Linked DNA regions of Oreochromis niloticus. The protein of the gene in region 2 purifies or fractionates together with the protein of the main gene of each other region. This does not show direct contact. Links are inferred from orthologs where the notes say so. Each region holds a gene or a part of one and is shown on either strand. Other genes may lie near its edges.

Region 1 (7,000 bases), on a different chromosome or scaffold from region 2:
ACCGCGTGGCCTCAGGAACACTTCCATGATCGCTGTCTGTGATCCAAAAATGCCTTCAGTGGGCCGAAGCTCATTTAGGCTGTTCTGTGGTCAGACAAATCGAAATGTGAAATTCTTTTAGGAAAACGTGGACACAGCAACTTCTTCTACACATTAAAGAGCGTGTCATCAGCACTCAAACGCTTAAATCTCTGATGATATGGGAGTGTGGTAGTGCCTATAGAATGGGCAGCTTGCACATCTGGAAAGGCACCATCAGTGCTGAAAGGCATACAAAGGATTTAAAGCAACATATGCTCCCATCCAGGTCTCCCCAACAAACTCTTGGCAAAAGAACGAATGAAGAAATTAAATGAACTGATACTTTTCTCAAAATGTTTCCTTTTCTCATTTTAGACATGTGATGTGTTTTCTTTTCAGTGGAAGTGACAAAAGATTCAGCAGCAACATCATCTCTGCGAGTGGTGACTCTTACTCAAGAACACACAAACCTTGTTTTCAGTGTTGTTTCCATGCGGGTAGTATTTTCCTTTTACTGAACCACACATACTAAACAAACCACTAGAGAAGAAAACATCCATTTACCCATGACTAGAGGCTCATGCTTGCAACAGCGTGCAAAGTGAGCTCGCTCCAACTGAGAGGAAAAGTTAGTAAATTTCACTTTTTTTTGGAGGGCGTAAAAGGTCTCCTTAAAGATCCATGACTCTGCTCCAATTAGAAATAAAGATCTGTCCTACAAATTCTCATTTTTTTCCACAAATTAAGTAATATTTGATACTAGCTGGTAATAACTGATGTGGAAAAAGCAAAACAGCATGACTGGAAATTTACTGTCAGTGACAGAGACGTAGACTGGGAATCACAAACTGTTCCAACCTGTCACGGTTGAAATCACAGAGAATAACAGATGTATCTAAAACACCCCGGAGGTTTGAAATATTGCATATCACAAAGTCCCCACAGTTAGTTGGAAATACAAGTGAAAACACTGCAATCCATGATGACACCTGAGATAAGAGCTCGAGGCTTGAGGCTAAAACGTCCAACCGCCACACAGACGTTCTTTGGAAATAAACAAGAAGCAACGACCGTGATTCAAATCTGGATTAGATTCTTAATGTACCCCCCCCCCCCTTACCCCACCCAAGGTATCATGTGACCTCTCTGCTGACCTTAAAGAGACTGAGATGGGCCACAAAATGTAACCTGTTGCCCTCTAATCTATAAAACACTCAATAAATCCAATGGGTTATGTGAGGCGTGAACAGAGCAGAAGGTGAAGACATAAATAGTTCTTAGTAGGCACTTTCCAAATATGCATTCACACAATACTGAGCAACTGACACATTGGTAAGAGTGCAGTGTTTGCAGGATACCTCAGGTGGTGGCAGCTGGACCCCAGCATGGTGCAGGGCTAAAGCAGTGAAAACAGCATATTAGCTTTTTGGAATAGGAATATTTTATATACTTTTAATTTCAAATGTGGAAAAAAACAGAACAAAAGTTAATGAGAAATAAAAATACATTCATTATCTTTAAATTCTGCACTTTCCTGCACTTTCAGAGGGACTCGGGAAGTGTCATCTGACTTAAATGTGACACTAGAGTTGGAAAACTGCCCAGCTTATGGGAAATGTAAAGCATTTTAATGCTGTTTACTCCTAACAGCTGAGTCACGAGATCAAAGTGCTTGATTTGATTGGATTTCATTTGAAGGGAAAGGTTTAAATAATTAGCTGATCAGTGGGCCTGTTTATTTTTTCCCCATCAGTCATTTCTCAAGCACAAATGCCAAACCTTCTCCTCCAAAAGAATTTGGCGCTAGATAAAAACTGAATGTTTTCATCTTTGTGTCTAAGACTGTTAAAGTGGTGGCATCTTGGGCTTTGAGACATCATAACAGGCATTTTAACTATTTCCTGTCTTGCAGAGATAAAATAAAAACAGGTGTTTCTTCAGTGCTCTAACATCAACATTGACATTGGACTAACAACACCACCTCTTGAACTGTAATGCATGTAGTTTTAAAATTATGTAATGAAAATCTGAGTATCTATCAGATTTCTGTTTATTAACACATTTTATTTTCTTAGTTTTAATTGTTTGGGGGTTTCTTTGTTTTTTACCTTTTTGTGCCATCTTTAAAAAGATGTGGGAATTACAAAGAACATTGGGATTAATAGTTTATGATGAAGTATAAAAATAACTTTTGTCAATTTTTGCTGTTAAGGAACATTAATTATGCAATCATCGGTCCCTGTGAGAATCACATCCGTCATTTCTCCCGGTCAAAGCAGGCCGAAAGCGGTCAAATCAATCAGTTCCTACTCTATAAAGAAAAATATGCTCGTTATCCGGGACTAAACGGTGCCCTGTGTGGCTGTAAACCTGGACCAGGCTGAGCTGCTGCTGGCGTTTTATTACTGCGGGACTGCAGACTCGACCCATTACTCAGCAAAAACAGCGTCAGGCGCACATGGAGCTGGTGCGCTGCAGCACATTACTCATGCACACAGCGAAGCACATGATTTGAGGCTGGGGGGCGGGATGGGGGGCGACAGGTATGTTTGCAAACATGTAGGTGAACTCACAATAAATGCACAAAACGACAGCTTTTACAGCTGGAAGCATACGCAGATACAGCCCCCCGCCCCCGGGTCTGTCTCTCTGCTCACCGTGCAGGGGTGGGGGGGTCTTGTTTACTGTGACAGAGCTAAAAAGGCGCAAGTGTCGGCTGTACCTTGCTGTCCAGGACGCTGTCTCCCTCCTGGTGCGCCTTCACTTCTGCGCTGAGATCCCCGGCGGAGGCTGAAGCTGAGGCTGAGGCATCCTCCTGGCTCTTCCCGTCCTGCTGCGCTGAGTTCTGTGCTCCCATGGCCAACTCTTTTCGTCTTTGGCTACTTTCGGTCTAAATAAGCCTCCGCAATAAACGGAGCCAGAGCAGAACGACTGTGTTTAGGGAGCGAATATCCAAAGCGTCCGATGTACGATGCAGCTCCGCCCCGGGGTGGCCTGGATCTGGAGTGATGAAGCGTCGGCACTGGCAAACTCTTTCAGGACGCCCCCACCTCTTGCATCTCCCGTCAGTATCACATGGGGGGCTCCGGTGTGCAGCGGCACGCCTTGCAGGAGCAGAGTTGGATGGAGGATAAACAAACGAGGGAAGAGGAGGTCAAGTAATTAAAAGGATAAAGGGCCTTTTCTTCACACGCCGCATTAATCCGTTAGTTTTGTTCTGTTCTGGTAAATTAAATTTGAGCAATTTTAAAAACACAGCAATGACACGAGGGTAGAAATCCGACAAGTTTGAGCAGAAGTTGTAAACATCACCACTGATGCCACTGGTAAAAAGAGAAATTAAGAAGAGTCATTGGGCATAAAAAACAGTGAAATAAAATCAAACCATGGTGCACATTATTTCTTGATTTTGGTGACAGGAAGCATATATAAGGACAAAATTTACCTGTGCACTTTTACAGTTTGGTCCATGAGTTGCTGGAAAATGACACATTTTTTCCACATTCAATGAGTTTTAAATAAGTCAAAGTGTGAGAAAAGTGCAGACTTGTAATTCAAGTGGTTTAACAACAAAAATGCATTTTTTAAATTTTTTTTTTAGGAATTAAAGACATTTTTATGCATAGAGCCCGATTTTCAGAGGCGCAGATTGAATTGGTCAGCTGACTGATAAGCAGCTAAGACCTCTTCCCTTGTTGTCATGACAAATTTAATCAAAGATCTAGTTCATTCAGAATATTGAACTTGCATTTAGTAGCTTTCACTGGAATATCTAACACGAGAAAAGAAGATAACAAAAGGTGGTCAAGAGGTGCAAACCACTGGTTACACTCAAGAACAAGATTTGACTTTGCCAAATATAGATATAGATATATAAATGTTGTAATTCTTGCACCAGAATGATAGGAAGAGAAAAATATGGAGAGAAGGAAAGAGAACAGCTTGTGATCGGTCAAACATAGTGGAGGAAGGTAAATGTATGGCTGCAGAGGAACTGGCTCACTGGTGTTTTTTGATGACAGAAATAGCAGGATGAACTGTGAAGTGTACAGAGCTACACTCTCTGCTCAGATTCAGACAAATGCTACAAAATTAATCATACAGCATTTTACAGTCCAAATGGATAATGATCCAAAGCTTACTGCAAAAGCAACCTGAGACTGTCTCACAAAGAAATGAGAAATGGCCACATCAGTTACTTGATCTTAACCCAAACAGAGTATGCTTTTCAGATATTTAATACAAAACTGAATGCAGAAGGACCCGCAAACAAGTGACGACGAGTGGCAGGGTGAATTGTGACAGAATGACGGCAGCAAAATGGTATTTAGACATGCTGGGCAGAGCTGAAGATGCAGGATAGACAGAATTACATATCCATGAGAGAGACAGCTCAGGTTGATCAGTTTGGAGACAAAGTTAGAGAAGAGGATGCTAGGGGTAGGGTAAGACTTCTCCTCCTGTTTAAAAAGGTTCTCCTGGCTTTACTTTGACATCCACCTCATTTTGTATTGCAGAGAAAACAATCTTTCTTGTGCTTCATGTGAAAACACTAACACAACCTTCATAACACTTGCAACACAACAAACAGTGTCTCTGTTATTCCAGCTGAATTCGCTCCATGACGTAATCTCTCTGACATCTCTTTAGATCCTGATTTTTAATCTTGTTTACATTTTGCTGTGATTCATTGTTCTGATGAAGTGTGTGTACAGTTACTCTGGTTTACAGAACTGGTTTGTAGGTAATTGTAATTGTAGGTTGAGTCAATGTGTCATTTTGTTTGGAATTTTTGAACACAAAAATTATAGTCCAAAATTTTAAGCCAAGTTCACACACGCCTAAACTTAAGGTCCCGACAGCTAAACCAAAACACAAACCCAAGCACGTAGTGCAACAACACAAATGAAGGCTTTACACAGAGAAACACTCAGAAATAACAGGATATAACCTGTCAAACAGTAAAACACACAGGACACATTATACAACTATGAAACAATAACAGCAACATGAGCTGAAAGGGACTGGAGATCATCTGCTACTTACTGGTAATATAAGGTGGACTCATTTAAAGCAACATACACTGATTGTTATGACCACTCACTGCTGCTTTATACATCTTTTATTTTTTCTCCAGTAAAAATAGCTTTGTGTCATGGAGACTTCCATCTTTGAATTTTTAAAACCCTTTTGACTTTGTAAACTGGCTTTGACTGGGATTTATTTGAGACTTCCAGAAAGATTTGATTTAAATGTAAGTATGTCTAGAAGATAAGGCAAAATGTCTGAATCTAATAAACAATGGTAACATCATTGTTCTGATGCAGCCAAAGTGATGTTTAATGTCCCTTAGCAAGGTGCACCTCGATCAGTCCAGTTTTGGTAGCCATCATCAAGCTTCTGGCATAATTCTGCTTGGATATTTGCCCACTATTCTTGGGATAATTGGTATAGTTCATTGATTTGATTACTTAGAAGCTGGGACCACGCCAGGAAATCATAGCCAACAAGTTTTCAGTAGGGTTTAGGTCGGGACTTTGGGAAGATTAATGGGAAACTGGTTAGGATGATCAGAAACAATCATGGAACCACTAAGGCTCAAGCTTGCAATGAAATGGAAAGTGCTAGAACTCTGTCCACAGTGAAGCCAGTCTACATTGCCATTTACTGTCCGCATAGACAAGCCAAAGAAAAGTTTTGGGGAGAAAAGATAGAGCTATTGGGCCACAGTGAAAAGAGGAATGTGGAGATTTCAAGAAGAGTAACTGAACACAGTATTACAATAACACTCAGATGTCAAGCAGAGCTGACAATCTTGTAAAATCTCGAACAAACTCATGAACACCAACTGAGACAGCAAGACAGAGGGTATGTCCACACTATAAATGAGCAGTATTGTAGTGCCGGTGTCACATGGAAGAGGAAAAAGGAAGGATGTTCTCATTACACTGAAAGCATTACTAGATATGTCATGCTCAGAGCTCTATGAAATAGTAGCGTAAGGGTACGTTAAAGGCACATTTAGAGGAGGGAGTGTTCAGCAATATTCACAAGCAGATACTCGCCACTTTATAGTTTTCTGCAGACTGGATGGCTCTAGAATATGAACCAGTTTGTTTATTTGAGAAGCATAGCATATAGACCCAGGACTGCTGAGCAGCTAGAATCTAAACTAATTGAATAACTTTCAATAGAGGACCCAGTTAATGTAGCACTTTTTTAGTATAAAGGTATTGAAACAACTGAGAGTGAATTGGATGTTTGGGGACCAGGATCATTCAGCTTCAACTATTTGGACCAATTTTCCAGAAACTCTTGGAATTCCTCTCACATGAAATATTCAACAGGACACTGTCCTTGGTACTGAAATTGGAAAATCTATTAAATCTGTCCAGAAGTGCTAAAAGATGAGAGCCTAAACAATTTCTCAGATGGAGTCAAAAACTCATTGTAAACAACTCTAACCGAACAAAACAAGGATCTGTCAGCGCATTACAGTGCAATGCCAAAGTGTACAGCTTATCAACACATCTTTAAATCTGTCATCAGATCAAAACAAGAGGGTTCAGTCTCTCTCGCTCTCTCACACACACACACACACACACACACACACACACACACACACACACTAAATCTGCTGTTGGGGTGCTACTGTATAAGATTCCCACTGCCAGGTGAACACGCAGAATAACACGGAGACTTTGAAAGTGTGGAATGCCAGCTATGACACATGTGCACACATGCACACTTGGCTTCATGCTGAAAACCCAAACACCTCATAATGACAGATGTTGCACCCTGGGGTGCTGCTGGGGGGTGGGGGTGGGGATCATCTGTTTTCAGACACCGTTCCAAAACACATGGGAAGAAATGAGAAAAGCACAGACAATCTTAAAGGTTTCATCCGTGAAAGGAGGCACGATTGTATCGCAGCATCTCAAAAAGAATCGCGAGACGATAGCAAGAAAACAGCTCATGT
Region 2 (7,719 bases):
GAACATATTATTGGACTAACAATACTTCTTTGTGGAGTACCAATCTGTACCTCATAACCTGTACTGAACTCTTTTCCTACTCGTTCAAAAATTCCTGATCCATTTCTACATTTTTCCTTTAATATCAATCTGATGCAGCTTGACCAGGAGTCCTTCTTTCCACATCCTATCATAAGTCTTCTCAGTGTCTAAAAACTCTCCTTGCCTTACTTCATGTTGTAGACACAGAGCTGGATCCATCTTGCTTCTTCTTTCCTAAAACCACTCTGAGGATATTTGATCTTACCATTAGTTTCTAAGAAATAATCTTTCATTCACCATTGTTTCCATTATTTTCTCCAAATGAGATGTTAAAGTTATCGGCCTGTAACTTTCAGCTAAGCTCAGATCCTTTCCTGGTTTACAGATGTAACAAAACAGCCTTTTCTCACTGAGTTTTTTTACTTTCTTCCCACATTTTGTTAAATAATTCTACTATTATACTCTTACCAAAATTACCAAGGTTTTTAATCATGCAATAACTAATTAGATCTGGTGCTGGAGCTGTATTACTTTCTTTAAAGCATTATGTAACTCTGCTATTGAAAACATGACAGTTATCAGTCTTGTCGGGCCTCCAAATGTTTCCTTTGTGTTTCTGCATTATTTAAACTTTCTATGCTGTGAACTTTGCAAATGTTCCTGCCAATATTTCAGCTTTACTTTTGTTATCAACTATTTATCTTTCATTATCTTTAATTGTTGGATAACCATATTCTTTTCTGTAGACAGACATATATTTATTAGTTGTCCAGACTCTCTCCAAGGTGTTACAGTATTTGATTCCAATATTCCCTCTTATTCCTGTTTTAATTATTCTTCTAACTTCTGCCTGTTTCCTTTTAGAGCATTACATGTTTAACACATAATTATTATTATCAGTGTTTTAAATGCTTTATTCCTAGTGGTAATTATGGCTTTACATTCTTGTGTCCAACACACACACAAGAATGTAACACATTAACCTTTCCTTTTTATTACCTCTTTTCTTTGGGATAGACCCTAGGATAGACTTTAAAGTTTAACTGATTAATTGGTTGATCAAAATCAACATCTTCCATTTCCATGTTGTCATTATGATGCCCCCATAAAGTGCTGTGTGAGTTAAAGTCACCACACCAAACTGTTCTCCCTCCAATCTCTGACAATTCATTCCATTTCTCCCTTCTTTAACTTTTTACATGGATTTTAAAAATGGATTACTTTGATGCTTCCTTGCTTAGACCATACCTCCACAATCATTACTTCTAATTCTACTTCAGTGGTTAGTTGATTATACTTAACTCAATAAACATTGCACATCCTCGTCCATTTCCACCAACTCTGTCTTTGAGTATCCTTCGACAACAAAATCTAGAATTAGTTTAAACCATGTTTCTTGTGTACACATGATATGACATATGATGGGTTTGAATGTAATGCACACATCTATGCCCTGAAGCTCCTGTCCGTTTGCAGTTAAGCTCCTGGCGTTCTATTGAAGGATTAACATTAAGGTATAACTTGGGAGTGTGATGAACATTCTGGATGACTAAGATCCCAGGACAGATCCTTCATATTGGAGAACTGATCTTTTCTGTTTTTGTTTTGGCTCGTTCTGAACCGTTAATGACAAGTTTGACCGTTTGGACAAACTGCTTTTTCCATCTGTCCCTCTGTCTGTTCCTTGTTCTTTGTCTGATCTTCTTTCCTTGTTATTTACCTTCTTCAAAGCTTCTACATAAGATACTCTTTCCTCTGCTTCGTTACCGTGCAGCCACCATATGCTGCTGTACGAGCCCCTCCACAGATGCAACATTTAACCTGATTACTGCCACATTCACCATACGCATGTTCTCCTCCACATCTCACTTTTCCTTTGCACACACTGGCTATGTGACCAAACCTCAGACACTTATAACACCTGAAAAGTGAAAACATAAACACGAACACTAAAACTCATGTATTCCACCACGACTTTCTCTGGTAGGCTGTTACTTAAACTCATGCAGCACTGACAGACCATCCACTTTTCCTCCATTTCTAAAAGCTTTCAGTCTTTTTATTCCAGTGATCTCTCCTCCTTTGGTCATTTTCCTCATTTCCTCAAGATTTTCCCCAATGAGAATACCTGAAATCACTCCTCTACATCCTTCCTTCTCACTGACTAAATCAAACAAACAAACACCACACCCACTGTAACCATATTAATGTATTTCCTGGTAAAACGTGCATCCATACTCTAATAAGACATAATACTTTCCTCAAATGACACAGTGTGTAGTGTCTTATAATCCTTAATTGACTGTCTTTGGTAGCATAAATAAGCAGGTCAACTAGTAGTTACAGTATGTAAAGCTGTTAAAATACAAGGAAATATATAATAAATGCTGCACAGTAAGGATCTGTAAGACTCCCGCATGTCTAAAACCATAACTTTGAATCATTTAACCAATAAAACTCTTAAAAGTCATAAAATTAATCAGCTATAATTATGTGGCTTAATAATAAAACATTAGAATTCTTGGGCAGTCAAGAACATAGTGTCATTGTTAGTGTGCAGTAAATGTTTATACACAAATGCATATAGTTATCTTAATAATAAATGTAAGTTAATTTCCATCACTTATAGTCTTCTGTTCACTCAAATGCACCACTTCCAGTTCAAGATACAGATTAAGGAGGATGCCCCAGTTCACCTGAAAAGTTTGGTACCAGTGCCGCAGAAAGTGCTGGAGCTGGGAATAACTAAAGTTCCCAGTAGTTGGTGGTGCATCCGCACTGTTCCGACAAACAGAAAGATTTTTGTATTGGTTTCTGGTAAATAAATGCCTTTTCTAACTTTCATCCTAGAACTGGTGACTGTTTGGATAAAGGATATGCGGACACCACCCAATCATTTCCTGTTCCCACTACTGAGAGGCCTGGTTGGATGGTATAGAAGAATTTGTGTCCCGATTTGCAGAGAGAGTAAGTTGGGTTGACTGACCTGAGCAAGAAATTGGGCCCTAACAAGGTACACTGAACAGAGGAATGTGAGAGAAGCCATAAACCCCCAGCCTGTTCTCCACAGCCCTGACTTTGACAACCAATCATCCTGCAAACAGATGCAGAAGGGGTTCTTTGTTTGCTGCTCGAAGAGGCCACTGGTGCTCTCAGAGCTGCCATGTTTGCTGGTAAACTGAACCTTTGATCAATAAAAATAAACTTGGGCTGTACTGAATTCAGTCTTTGCGACGGGATGCCATGGCAAAGACTAACGCCTCTCACAGATACATTGTCCAAGCTTGATCAAACATGCATGGTAATGTCCTCCCCCTCAACACAATTCAATTGCAGTATTTGACAATGGCCACAGTGCCATGTAGCGGGAACAGGAAATGTCACGTTTTGCATGTTGGGGTACAGTTTGAAGGTGGGCGCCCCCGGAAACCACAAATTTGTCCAGAAAAGCATTAAAAGTTGGACTTGTGTTACACTGTAAACTGTGAGCTTTTATGCAAAAGGCATGACCCTGGCGGCACGAAGAGCGATATTTCTATAACACACAGAAATCTAGTCCAAACTTTACAGTCATGATGACAGTCCTGCCGTGAACACACTGATATGCCCACTGTCAGCATAATTTAGAGCGCCACCTGCTGGAAACAAGAAATGTCATGTCAACATGTTGCCACTTAAGAAGCATTACTCCTTCTCTTCTGTAGGGCTAGCTAGATGCTGAAGTACTGCGACTAGAACTTTTGGACATCTGCACTCGTTCCGGTGTTGTGCCCCTTCACCCCACCCCACCCCACCCCACCCGCACACAGCGCTCTCTTCAAATGTTTGAAACCCAAAGTATTAAGGCTGGTTTGAAAAAGTAGAAAGTATAGATATTTGTGTTAAAATCTAGGATGTAGAAAAACATGAGAAAAATAAATACTCGAGTACAGACAGCTATGAAAATAACGTACCTGCAGTAACAACGTATTTGGACTTCCTTACTTCCCACCTGTATTATAATGTTAAACCCCCTTATATACCATTTCACACAGACTGTCACAATCTGCATGGGGTATGCAGATTGTGTTTTGTGAACTGGACCAAAGAGAACCACACACACGTAGAATAATAACAAAACCTAAAGACAGTAAAACAGAAGTATCCATCCATCTTATCCGGGCCGGGTCTCAGGGGCAGCAACCTAAGCAGAGAAGCCCAGACCTCTCTCTCCACAGCCACCTCCTCCAGCTTGTCTGGGGAACACTGAGGCATTCCCAGGCCAGCCGAGAGATGTGTCCCGGGTCTTCCCCAGGCCTCCTGAAGAGCCCAAAACACAGTAATAATCAGCAGACTCGGGACCATGACAACAGACATGCAAATACTTTTTTTTTGTATTAAATTGGAGGGGGGAAATGATCGACTTGTATGAATCTAACCTGAATGTATTTCACGTATTCGCTCGTTTGGTAACTTTTTCATGAGGTTTCAGTTAAACTAGTCTGAATGCTGGTACAGTGGGTAGTGGGGGGTACAGCGGTAGTGGGGTACAGTGGGTAGTACTGCATCTTTTGCGGCTGCACCGAGCAAAGCTGCGTCAGACCGGACAGGGGCAGCATTCCTGGTCAGGACAGCCATGAATGTGATGGGAGGGGCGGGCAGAGCAGCAGCAGCAAATCTGGGGTCCAACATCCTCTGTGCTGAAGCTTTTCTGCACCTCTTCTGCTTCTAGACCCTCACGAACCTCAGCCCTGTCCACGAATATTTCCAGGTCTTATGCACACAACGATAGGCGGTAAAGCGAAGCTCGGGGTGGCACCGCGTTAGTGACGAAAACCACATTTTGTTTGATTTTTCCCCACTTTGGCCCGGTGTGCCTCAGCAACCAGGAAAATTGCTTGGTGTAGCTGTATCGGAGAGAAGGCTCGAGAGGAGGTGAAACTGCGGGACATGATGACCGAGAAAGACGCATCGACAGAGAAGATAATCACAGGTGAGTTAGCATATCCCGTAACGTCTACAAACACCTTTGTCGGTACAAGCTGCGGTACTCTGATAGCAGTTACGCAGCAGCTTTTCGGTGTAGTCGCCTGTCAGACGCGGAACTCTGATATTTGCCCGACTGTGGCACTTTGCGCTTCGATCTAGTTCTGGCCAAAAAGCGTATGCGACACCTTTGCTGCAGTGCAGAGAGGCTGTGTGAGCTATGAAACCCTCCCTGGGTTTCCAAGGACACTCGTGTTGTGCGGGACCTCGCCCGCTGACTTGCACCGAGCAGGAACATGTAAGAACATGGCGATGTTAAAAGTTCTCGCTTTCTCTGGCTCGTGTTTTCCGACCGAGCTCGATGTGGCAGGTCGTTCCCGCAGACACAGACCAGGTCTGTCCTCCATAACGGTGCGGGGTTCGGTCACGTGGCCCATCCCACCGGAGCTGTGACTCAATGCAGCAAAAAAAGAAGTCTGCACCACATCCTCAGGTACTGCTCATCCCCGCCCAGTCGGAGCTGGTACGGCGTGTGATGGAGCTGGAGTCCTGAGCTGTGTTTCACGTCAGCGGCCTGCACAGAGTCTGCTGTGTTAAAGTTGGTATCAGTGGCTTGCATTGGGAAATCTGTCATTTTATTATTGCTTGCTGAAATAACATAATTGCCAACAGTTCTGTCTTTTGCACTCCAGATGTACATTTAAGCATACCAACCAACATTTATCAGAATCAGCACACTTTATTAATCCCTAAGGACATTATGTGGGTTACAGTTGCTCCACTATAGTAACAGAAACAGAATAGACTATTTAACAATACAATATGTTACAGATTTACAAATATAAGAAAGACTTTTATTTTGACAGTTTCAACCTGTAGGGTCATCCGGCACCATTTTATACGATGTACCCCCCCACACCAGCAGTCCTGTACCTATAGCATTTTAATGATTTCTTGTTAGGGCCCGAGCACAAAAGTGCGAAGGCCCTATTGTATCTGCTCTGTTTCTTATTATTATTATTATTATTATTATTATTATTATTATTATTATTATTATTATTATTATTATTATTATTTCGGCAAATGAATCGGCCTTTTGAGGGCCTAAACATGCTCGAAAACTCATGAAATTTTGCAGACGCGTCAGGTCTGGTGAAAATTTACGTATTTTAATGTCCGTAGACATGTCCAGGGAAAATTGGCTCAGTAGCGCCACCTAGAAAAATGAGAAACGCGAGCCCCCGAGATGGGTATGACCTACATGTATAAAACTCGGAACACATATCTAGCGTTCGGAGGCGCACATAAAAGTCTATTATGGCCATGTCCTAAACCCAACAGGAAGTCCGCCATTTGGAAGTGAAGGTGACATTTTGGCTCTAATTTTGCCATTTCCATGCCTCGAACTTTTGCGAACTCCTCATTGGAATTTCATCGTACAAGCTTCATATTTGGTCAGTGTCAACTACACACCTGGGCCATGTTAAATTGCGGAGCTTTTGAGTTTTCGGGTTACTGTGAGGCCGTGGCGCCACGGCGAATTTCGATGACTCGCCATGAAAATCTTATTGCCTCTCGTTCTGTCATACATTGTCCGACCTTGACCAAAGTGGACACATATGATAAGGCTCCACCCCTGAACATATTTCAACTGCCATATTTGACACCAGGGACAGCGCCACCTAGTGGGAACAGGAAATGTCATGTTTTACACTTTGGGGTACAGTATTGTAATGGGTGACATCTGCAGCCTCAAATTTCTCCAGGAAAGCCTTAAGGAGTTGGTCTTGGGTTACAGAGAAAACTGTGAGTTTTCGCTGAAGGGTGTGACCCCAGCAGCATGGCGAACATTGAGGTCTCGCCATGAAGAAACAAATTAGTGTAACTCAATGAAATCCAATCTGATCAGTACCACATTTTACAGGGATGATGTCAGACCCGCCCTGAACAGATTGATATGCCCATTGTCAGGAATACGTAGAGCGCCACCTAGTGGCACCAGGAAATGTCATGTCTTTCATTTTGTTGTACTGATTTTCACAGGTTCATCGTGGCCACCTCAAAAGCGGTGAATATCACCATCAGTCCCTCTTGATGCTTCAGTGAGAAAATTGTGACTATAAACTGAACGGCGCACCCTGGTGGCAGCGCAGTTCACCATGAAAGATGAAGTGGCTTTTGAGGGGCTTGAAAAGTTTAAAAAGTCTTGAAATTTGGCGCACACCTCTAATGTGATGAGGGATTTCTTTTTATATGTTCATTTTCCTTGAAGAGCGCAAAATGGCTCCACAGCGCCCCCTACAAAATTTCAAAACAACAGCCCCTGCTCTGTGTTTTATGTATGAGTTTGAAACCTGGCAAGCTTATTGGAGATATCAAGATGTACAAAAAAGTCTCTTGGAGCAATATCCCAAATCCAACAGGAAGTCAGCCATTTTAAAATTAATGTGTAAATTTGGCGACATTTTCCCCTCTTTTCAGGCCTCATACTTTGACGAACTCCTCCAAGGGATTTCATTAGATTTACGCGATCTCCTGTGTGTGGAATCTAAAGACCTTTGTGATGTTAAATTGCGAAGCTTTTTACGTTCAGGGAAACGGGGTGGTCATGGCGGCACGTGGAGTTTCACTCACTCGCCAAAAACCAGTAACCTGCTGTCGCTCAAAAACACAATGTCCAATCTCTCCCAAAGTTCGCAGGCGTGATGAGACTCGAGCTCGGAAATGTTTGTT

What was found. The genes of interacting proteins can lie anywhere in the genome.
Region 1: the proteins of hspa12a (region 2) and akap12b purify together in Homo sapiens (affinity purification with mass spectrometry; 3 studies listed by BioGRID and IntAct, with this or other methods). This does not show direct contact. The link is inferred for Oreochromis niloticus from reciprocal best matches to the Homo sapiens genes HSPA12A and AKAP12.

What each region holds. Positions count from the first base shown.
Region 1 is NC_031980.2:11,539,624-11,546,623, reverse strand, and holds the start of akap12b (A-kinase anchor protein 12b), read right to left. Parts: upstream 3,073-7,000; 5' UTR 2,879-3,072; coding exon 2,744-2,878; intron 1,413-2,743; exon of another isoform or gene 1,380-1,412; intron 1-1,379. UniProt on the Homo sapiens protein: Anchoring protein that mediates the subcellular compartmentation of protein kinase A (PKA) and protein kinase C (PKC).
Region 2 is NC_031978.2:32,299,185-32,306,903, forward strand, and holds the start of hspa12a (heat shock 70 kDa protein 12A), read left to right. Parts: upstream 1-4,625; 5' UTR 4,626-4,950; coding exon 4,951-4,993; intron 4,994-7,719. UniProt on the Homo sapiens protein: Adapter protein for SORL1, but not SORT1. Delays SORL1 internalization and affects SORL1 subcellular localization.